Linked DNA regions of Macaca mulatta. The protein of the gene in region 1 purifies or fractionates together with the protein of each later gene. This does not show direct contact. Links are inferred from orthologs where the notes say so. Each region holds a gene or a part of one and is shown in the gene's direction. Other genes may lie near its edges. The genes, in order: EYA2 and ACAD9.

Evidence for each region.
Region 2: the proteins of EYA2 (region 1) and ACAD9 purify together in Homo sapiens (affinity purification with mass spectrometry; 3 studies listed by BioGRID and IntAct, with this or other methods). This does not show direct contact. The link is inferred for Macaca mulatta from reciprocal best matches to the Homo sapiens genes EYA2 and ACAD9.

Annotation. Positions count from the first base shown.
Region 1 is NC_133415.1:99,778,798-99,783,280, forward strand, and holds the start of EYA2 (protein phosphatase EYA2), read left to right. Parts: upstream 1-1,531; 5' UTR 1,532-1,989; coding exon 1,990-1,994; intron 1,995-4,483. UniProt on the Homo sapiens protein: Functions both as protein phosphatase and as transcriptional coactivator for SIX1, and probably also for SIX2, SIX4 and SIX5.
Region 2 is NC_133407.1:155,071,013-155,074,823, reverse strand, and holds part of ACAD9 (complex I assembly factor ACAD9, mitochondrial), read left to right. Parts: intron 1-1,487; coding exon 1,488-1,566; intron 1,567-3,110; coding exon 3,111-3,285; intron 3,286-3,811. UniProt on the Homo sapiens protein: As part of the MCIA complex, primarily participates in the assembly of the mitochondrial complex I and therefore plays a role in oxidative phosphorylation.

The DNA of each region.
Region 1 (4,483 bases):
CTCCCAAAGTGCTAGGATTACAGGCGTGAGCCACCGTGCCTGGCCCCTAAGAGAATTTTTGGATAAAGCTTTCCAATCAGGGAGTAAAAATAGCACAAGGGATGAAGACATGGGACATTCCGCTGGGCGTATAAATTGGATTCACCACTCTGAGGAGCGATATGCAAATGGGTTTTACGGTTTTAAACTGGGGGCCCGCAGTCTTTCCTTGGGGTATCACTTCTAGAGAACTCCAGGTATGTGCACCCAAGAAGACCTGCTCCAGTCATTGTGGAATTCATTATCCTAACAACAACGTGGGACCCCTGAGGACTGGACAGGTGAACTGTGACACAGACATACCTGCAGACACCATGCAGCAATGAGAAAGAATAAGCTAGATCTCTGTCATGGCATGGAATGAACACCAAGGTATTTTATTATTAGAGTGAAAAAACATCTTGGAACAAGATGTACATGATCAATAGCGGTCAACAACACATTCACAAAACACATTTGTAAAAACAATACTGTATATTTTAATGAATGTGTGGGTGTTTGTGTTTATAAGCTATTTATCCTATTAATTGTGGATACATCTGGTGGGAGGTAGTGCCCCAATGTGACTCTAATCTTATCTGAAATTTTAAAATGTATTTACAAATGTTTTTAGATGTTATTTGGGCAACCAAAATTTTATTTTAAGAGAGAAAGGGCCATGCAATTCTTATCTCAGCAGAAGGAGGCACAGGTGGACTAGTTGGGATCACCCATTGAGGAATTCCCACTAAGTCTGGATGGCAAATCCCACCTGAAATGCCAACTTCAGGAGAGCAGGAACTTGTCTGTCTGGTTGGACACTGTATCCTCAATGCCTGAGACAGTCCCTGGGTCTAAGAAGGCCCTTAAAGAACAGGAGAAGGGGAAGAAAGATGAAATCAATTAGTGAAGGAGTAGCAGCTTTGCTCTTTGGTGTGCTACGTAAACAGCATCAGTGATTCTAAATCATGGGCAGCCTGACTCAATGAATGAATCAGTGAATGGCTTTAGTGTCACCTGTGTTCCTGATCCATTTATCTGCCTTCTAGCCTTTGCAAAAGAAACTGAATTTGCATTATTTATCTGGGGAGATGGTTCCCAACGCATTGCAACCCTGTCCCACAACTTCTATTCAATGACACCTTCCCCATGTTAAGGGAGACAGGGTAGAGGAGGATGGAGGTGTGGACAGGAGGAGGGATTTGTGATCACACCCTTGTGGCTTGTGGAGTTCTTCCCCAAGGTTGTTGAAGTGACAACAGCTGCTGAATTTCACTGGCTGAACCCACAGCTGATTCCTACTCTAATTTTTCACACTGAACACCTAGGGCGTGATACACCTGTATTAAAACACAAAGGCAGTCTGCAGTCTCGCAGGCAAGGGGCTGCCCACGGCTCCAGGTAGACATCTTCCAGGACTTGTGTGCAGCAGGAGAGAGCGTCTCTTCTCCAGCAGTTCATCTTGGGCCTCCCATTGGCCCCAGGTGGCTCACGTGACCACCATCCTGGAGCCAATCACTATAGACTGAGGAATGGGAGATGCTAATTGCCAGGCTCCGAGCTTGTTAGTAGGGTCAGTCCCAGCCAAGCCACGTGGACTGAGAGTCATGGGGAGACCTAGGGAAATTAAATAACTCACAAACATCTGTAAAAACTGTTCCAGTGACTGGTGTGTGTGAGAGAGGGCCATGGGCCTGTGGAAGCTGCAGGAGGGAAATCACTCACTCAGGGAGAGCCTGGGGAAGTCCTGCCGGAACTGAGGCCTCTGCAGGGTGAGCAGAAGGGACGGGAGTTCCAGGCAACGGGAACAGCATGTGCAAAGGCCCTGTGGCAAGAGGGAGCGTGGAGCAAAAGAAAGGCCAGTGTGCTGGGATCAGACATTGGGTGAGGAGAAGCCAGATCAAGGCTATGTTCCGAAGTCTTCGCTTCATCTTAAGAGCAATGGAAAGCCGTCGGAGGTTATAAGCAAGGATGAGGTGAGGGGGCAGGTTCACATTTATGCTGTCTTTCGCTGCACGGAGAACAAACTGGAGGGAGGCCATGGTGGCCCCAGGGAGGTGGGCAGGGGGACTGCGGTGGTCTTCCTGGGCAGTGAGGGTGGTGGCTTGGACCTGGGTGATGGCCGTGGAGGTGAACTTTATAAGGCCTGGAGATGGATTGGAGGAGAGGGAGAAGTAAGAGTGATCCTGAGCTTTTGGTGTGAGCAACTACCCCCTGAAATGGGGAAGCCAAGCTGGTTTGTGATTCACAGAGGTATTTTGAATGGAAATTGAATGAGGCTGGTGGAGGCTGCCAGAGACGTCCAGGTTTGGGCCACAGCTGCTGTCTGTTCAGAAGCCTGTGATTGAAGTCAGCAGGCTTTGATTTCTCAGCCCGTGAAGGATGCTGGGAGTGGCTCTCTCCAAAGTCCCCTTGGCTGACTGGCCATCTGTCCTCTGCATCTAACAGGCAGGGCCACCGTCCTCAGCCAAGGTAGCTGGTGCACTCACAGGGGTGGGGAAAGGTGAGCAGCCCACCCGCTGGGGACCCTCCATCTGCTTTTGATCCCTCCCAGCCTTTGAAGCTGCCCCTGCCCCCACCCCCCAGCTGTCATCTCTCAGGCTCCCCCACTTCTTCCCAGTCCCCAGGGACAGGGGTGGTGACAATGGTAACAAATGGCACAAGCCGCAGGCAGCAGCAGGCCAAGGAGGCCAGAGGGTGGGGGCGCTTGAATGCCTTTCTTCCCGCTCCTTCAGGCTCTCTTCTGAAGTAGCCGGGCTATCAGGGTTTTGCAACAATGCAACAAAGAAAGAATTTTTTTTTTTTTTTTGTAAATGAATTCCATGCTTTTGCTTCCTTTCCCTTCCCTCCCTTCGTGAAAGGGAAGCTACGTCTTTCTCCTCCCCCAGATTCCGTGAAGGCTGTCTGAGTTCTCTCTTCCTTCCCCTTGCATAGAGAATAAGCTGGTCTCCAATTTCAGGTAATTGTGAGGTGGGGAGAGTGGGGAGAATGTGAAGGAAGCCTTCCCCTCAAATTGCAGGAGAGCTCAACTCTGCCCCTCAAACCACAATAGGAACCAGTGGTTTCCAGGTGATCCTCATGACAGTTTCCAGTGTCTACCTGGAATGAAACGAATAGTGTGTTTCAAGCTTTTGTCTGTGTGAATGCAAATAATCTCGGCTGCCCTTTGTTGAATACCCAATGCCTTCTCTGACTCATTTTCCTCAGAATAACCTGGCGGGGAGGGTAGTATTTACTGCATCTTACAGAACTGAGGCTCAGATAAGTGAAATAACGTGCCCAAGGTTACACCGCTGACAAGGACATAGCTGGGATTTGAACCCCTGGAGCAGATAACAGGTCTGGTGCTCTGACTGGGTAGCTTAGTAGACTTTAGAGCTCGATGGGCCCTGAGTTGAAATTGTGATCCAGAGCTATTTGCAAGCTGTGGTTAAGAGCACAGATCTGGAGCCAGATCACCTGGTTGAGAATCCTGGCCCTACCACTAACTGGCCAGGTCAGTCTCTGAACCTGTCTCCTTATCTCTACCTACTTCATAGGATGAAATGAGCCAGTGCATGCAGAGAGATTTAAACCTCAGAGTAAATGCTCTGTAAGTGTGAGCTGTTTTTATTTCTAGTATCCGTAAACTGAGCAATGTAATCAGGGCCAGGTTAAAACCTTCAGCAGCCTCAAACACCAGAGACTGGCCTCCCTCCTCCGTGGTCTCCTCCAATTCAATAATGAAACAATGTGGTTCATAAGACAAAAAACTCACTGTGTGCTGAGAAGTTTTTTACAGTTTTGTTTAGTTTTTTTTTATTGGTATATAATAGATGGACGGATTCTCAGGGTGCACGTGATCGTTTGATGCATTCATATAATGTGTACAGATCAAAGCAGCATAATTGGGATTTCATCACCTTAAATATGTATCTTTTCTTTATGCTAGCATCATTCAAATTACTCTTTATTCTAGCTATTCGGAATGGATGATAAGCTATTGTTAATTATAGTCACCCTACTGTTCTATTGAACACTAGGTCTTATTCCTTCTAACTGTATATTTGTACCCGTTAATCAACCTCTCTTCATCCTCCCCACCACCCTTCCTGGCCTTTAGTAATCACAATCTACTCTCTATCGTCATGAGATCTACTTTTTTAGCTCCCACATGTGGTTGAGAACATGCCATATTTGTCTTTCTGTCCTTGGCTTATTTCACTTACATAATGACTTCCAGTTCCATCCACGTTGCTGCAAATGACAGGATTTCATTCTTTTCATGGCTGAATAATATTCTACTGAATATGCATACCACATTTTCTTTATCCATTCATCAGTCGGTGGAGTGCGCTGACATTTGAAAAGTTTCTTCTTAGATCCTCATGGCAGAACAGGATAAGTTCACCAAACAGGAACGATTTCACATTTTCTTGGTGACTGCACTTTGCTCAGACTTAAATCTGTGTTTAGTCGGCCTTGG
Region 2 (3,811 bases), on another chromosome or scaffold:
AAAATGTTATCCCTCAGCAGCTGTGACATTGCCCAAGACTCACTGGGGCAAGGGGGTGTTGGTTTTGTTGAGTAGCTGACTTTTCCTTCTTTCCAAAATCTTGCAGAGAATCAACTCAGCAACGGTTCTTGCCATTCCTCTTACCTTGACCTTATTTCTCTGTCCCAGTGAGACTTGCAAGTGAGATACCATGCTTGACAGCACTTACTAAATAAATTTTTGTGGTTTATAACACACCTTGACGTACAATACAGTAATAACGTTCAGGCTTCAAAGCACCTTTCAGAATATGTAGCATGGGTGGTACTGTTCCTGCTTACACATTAGGAGCTGAGGTTCATTGAGGCTGTGTGATCTGCTGGATGGAGCAGGGCTGCAGCAGGACTCGGGACTCCAATGATAAGTCCATCACCTGGACCATCCTCCATCCTGCTTCACTGTGCGTGGGAACCTGGGAACAACCATCCTTCCTGGGGTGCCCACAACTCATCCTCACAGGACCTCAGATGAGCCCATTGCAAGCACCCATTTCCATGTTTAAACCTAAGCCCAAGTTGTTTTCACTGCCGCTTTTTTACGTGATGTATTGAAGCAAAGGTCGGCTAAATCCAGCCTCCTGCCTGTTTTTTATAAATAAGTTTTGTTTGTTTGTTTGTTTTTGAGACAGGGTCTTGCTGTGTCACCCAGGCTGGAGTGCAGTGGCACGATCTCATCTCACTGCAACCTCCGCCTTCAAGTGATTCTCTTCCCTCAGCCTCCCGAGTAGCTGGGATTACAGGCATGTGCCACCATGCCCAGCTAATTTTTGTATTTTTAGTAGAGATGAGGTTTCACCATGTTGGCCAGGTTGGCCTCGAACTCCTGACTTCAAGTGATCTACCCACCTAAGCCTCCCAAAGTGCTGGGATTACAGGCATGAACCGCCATGCCCAGCCCAGTTTTATTGGAACATGCCCATTGTTTTATAAATTGTCTTCAGCTGTGTTCATGTTTTTTTTTTTTTTTTTTTTTTGAGATGTAGTCTCGCTCTGTTGCCAGGCTGGAGTGCAGTGATATGATCTCGGCTCACTGCAGCCTCCGCCTCCTGGCTTCAAGCGATTCTCCTGCCTCAGCCTCCTGAGTAGCTGGGACTACAGGCATGCACCACCACACCCAGCTAATTTTCGTATTTTTAGTTGAGATGGGGTTTTACCATGTTGGCCAGGATGGTCTCAATCTCTTGACTTCGTGAACCACCTGCCTCAGCCTCCCAAAGTGCTGGGATTACAGGCGTGAACCACCATGCCCGGCCTCATGTTCTATTAATAGCAGCAGAGTTGAGGAGGTGAGACAGACATCCTGTAGCTTGTAAAGCTGAATATGTTATCTGACCCTTCATTTTAAAAGTTCGCTGACCTCTTAAAAGTACTAGAACCTCCATTTTCAGGCTCTCAAAAGCATTCATATTCCCAGTATTCTCCCTTGACCACATCTTTCTGCATCTGCAGTGGGAGCGATGCAGCCTCAGTCCAGAGCAGAGCCACGCTAAGTGAAGACAAGAAGCACTACATCCTCAATGGCTCCAAGGTAGGGCTCCTTCCCCATGGCCACGTCAGGATCTCAGTCACGACCTTCACTGCCACTGAGTGAGCACTCTCCACACACCAGGGATTGTACCTGCTGCTGTAGCACTGACTGCCTTCTTGAGCTGCTTTTATGTGTTTGTTTTTGATTTTTTTTAGTTTTTTAAATTTGAGACGGAGTCTCTGTCACCTAGGCTGGAGTGCAGTGGTGTGATCTCAGCTCACTGAAATCTCTGCCTCCCAGGTTCAAGTGATTCTCCTGCCTCAGCCTCCTTGGTAGCTGGGCTTACCCATTCTTGGCTAATTTTTGTATTTTTAGTAGAGATGGAGTTTCACCATGTTGTCCAGGCAGATCTTGAACTCCTGACTTCAAGTGATCCGCCCACCTCGGCCTCCCAAAGTGCTGGGTTTACAGGCATGAGCCACCGTGCCCGGCCTGTAAACCCGAAAAATCTTTAAATTTTTTGTTACACAAAATTTCAGACATGTTCTGTGTGCCTGGCTGGCCCCAACTCCGGCAGTCACCTGCTCATGGCCACTGTGCCTCTTCCAGCAGCATTGCTACCTCCAGATCGCATGGTAACAATCACAGCATGCCTCTCTAAAAGACAGGAGTTTTGTTTGTTTTTTTAAATAAAAACAAAGCTGTAATATCCTTATCACATTTTAAAAATTGATAATTTCTCTTTTCTTTTGAGATGGGGTCCTGCTCTGTCACCCAGGCTGGAGTGCAGTGGCACAATCTTGGCTTACTGCAGCCTCAACTTCCTGGGCTAAGGTGATTCTCCTACCTCAGCCTCCCAAGCAGCTGGGAGTACAGGCATGCAGCTAATTTTTTTTGTATTTTTTTTGGTAGAGATGGATTTTCACCATGTTGCCCAGGTTGGTCTCAAACTCTGGGGCTCCAGCTATCTGCCCACCTCGACCTCCCAAAGTGCTGGGATTACAGGCATGAGCGACTGTGCCCAGCTGATAATTTCTTACATCTATCAGCATTCAAATATCCCTGATTGCCTCATACCTTTTTTTGGTTTAACTATGTGCTTGAATTAAGATCCACATGAGTCCCATCTGTTGCGGTTTGTTAAGGAGTCTGTTTCTGCCTCTAACTCCCTTTGTTTCCTTTCCTCCTCCTCACCACCCTCCTGCCTTCTCTTTTTTCATTTCTTTTTAGAATTAACAAATAAATGTTGTGTGTATTTAGATGTGCAACATGATGTTTTGATATATGTATACCTTAAGAAATGATTAAACCCTTTCTTTCTTGAAGAAATGCAGTTGTCTGGCGGTGGAACCTGAGCTGTTTGACAACTTTGGATGTTCTTTCCCCCCTCCACCTCCACCCTGGCCATCCATGTCCCTTGGGAAAATCCTTGGTGTGGGCAAACTGGGCTGAGCCCTGTCCTGTGTTCACTCATGCTTGTTTGGCTTCTGCAGAGCCAAGGACCCTGCATGTCTGGCCTGAGGTCTGACTGATCAACAAAGACAGAGCTGAGATGGGTCACATAGGGGTTTGGTTTTCTCCAAAGTCCTTCTTTCTGTCCTCAGGTCTGGATTACCAATGGAGGACTGGCCAATATTTTTACTGTGTTTGCAAAGACTGAGGTAGTTGATTCTGATGGATCAGTGAAAGACAAAATCACAGCATTCATAGTAGAAAGAGACTTTGGTGGAGTCACTAATGGGAAACCTGAAGATAAATTAGGCATTCGGGGCTCCAACAGTAAGTAGCTCGTGTGTGCGTGTGTGTGTGTGTGTGTGCGCGTGTGTGTGTGTATGTGTGTAAGGGGGAGACTGGCCCTTGACTCTGTCCAAATAGCAAGATAAAATGAGATTTAAATACTTTCAGTTTTTGTTAAGCATTTTAAAAAGATCAAACTAAGAATGCCACATGGGCTTTGTCTTTGTACCCACAGCTGAGTGCTGCTCACTTGAAGACCTGCTGGTCATCCCCTGCTGTAGCTGCCCTAACAGACAGACCACCTTACCACCTTAGAGCTCAGCTTACAGTCCTCAGCCTTTAGTTGTCTCAGTCTGCAGTGCCTGGCAGCCTGCTTCAGGATGTGGGTTGGGTTCAGGTCCATCTGGGGGCTTGTTCTTAGAGCAGATCATAAGCACCTAAGGGGCCAAGCCAAGCCATATAAGCACTTTTTTTGTCGTGGGAGACATAGTCTCTCTCTGTCACCCAGACTGGAATGCAGTGCTGTCATCTCAGCTCACTGCAACCTCTGCCTCCTGGGTTCGAGTTA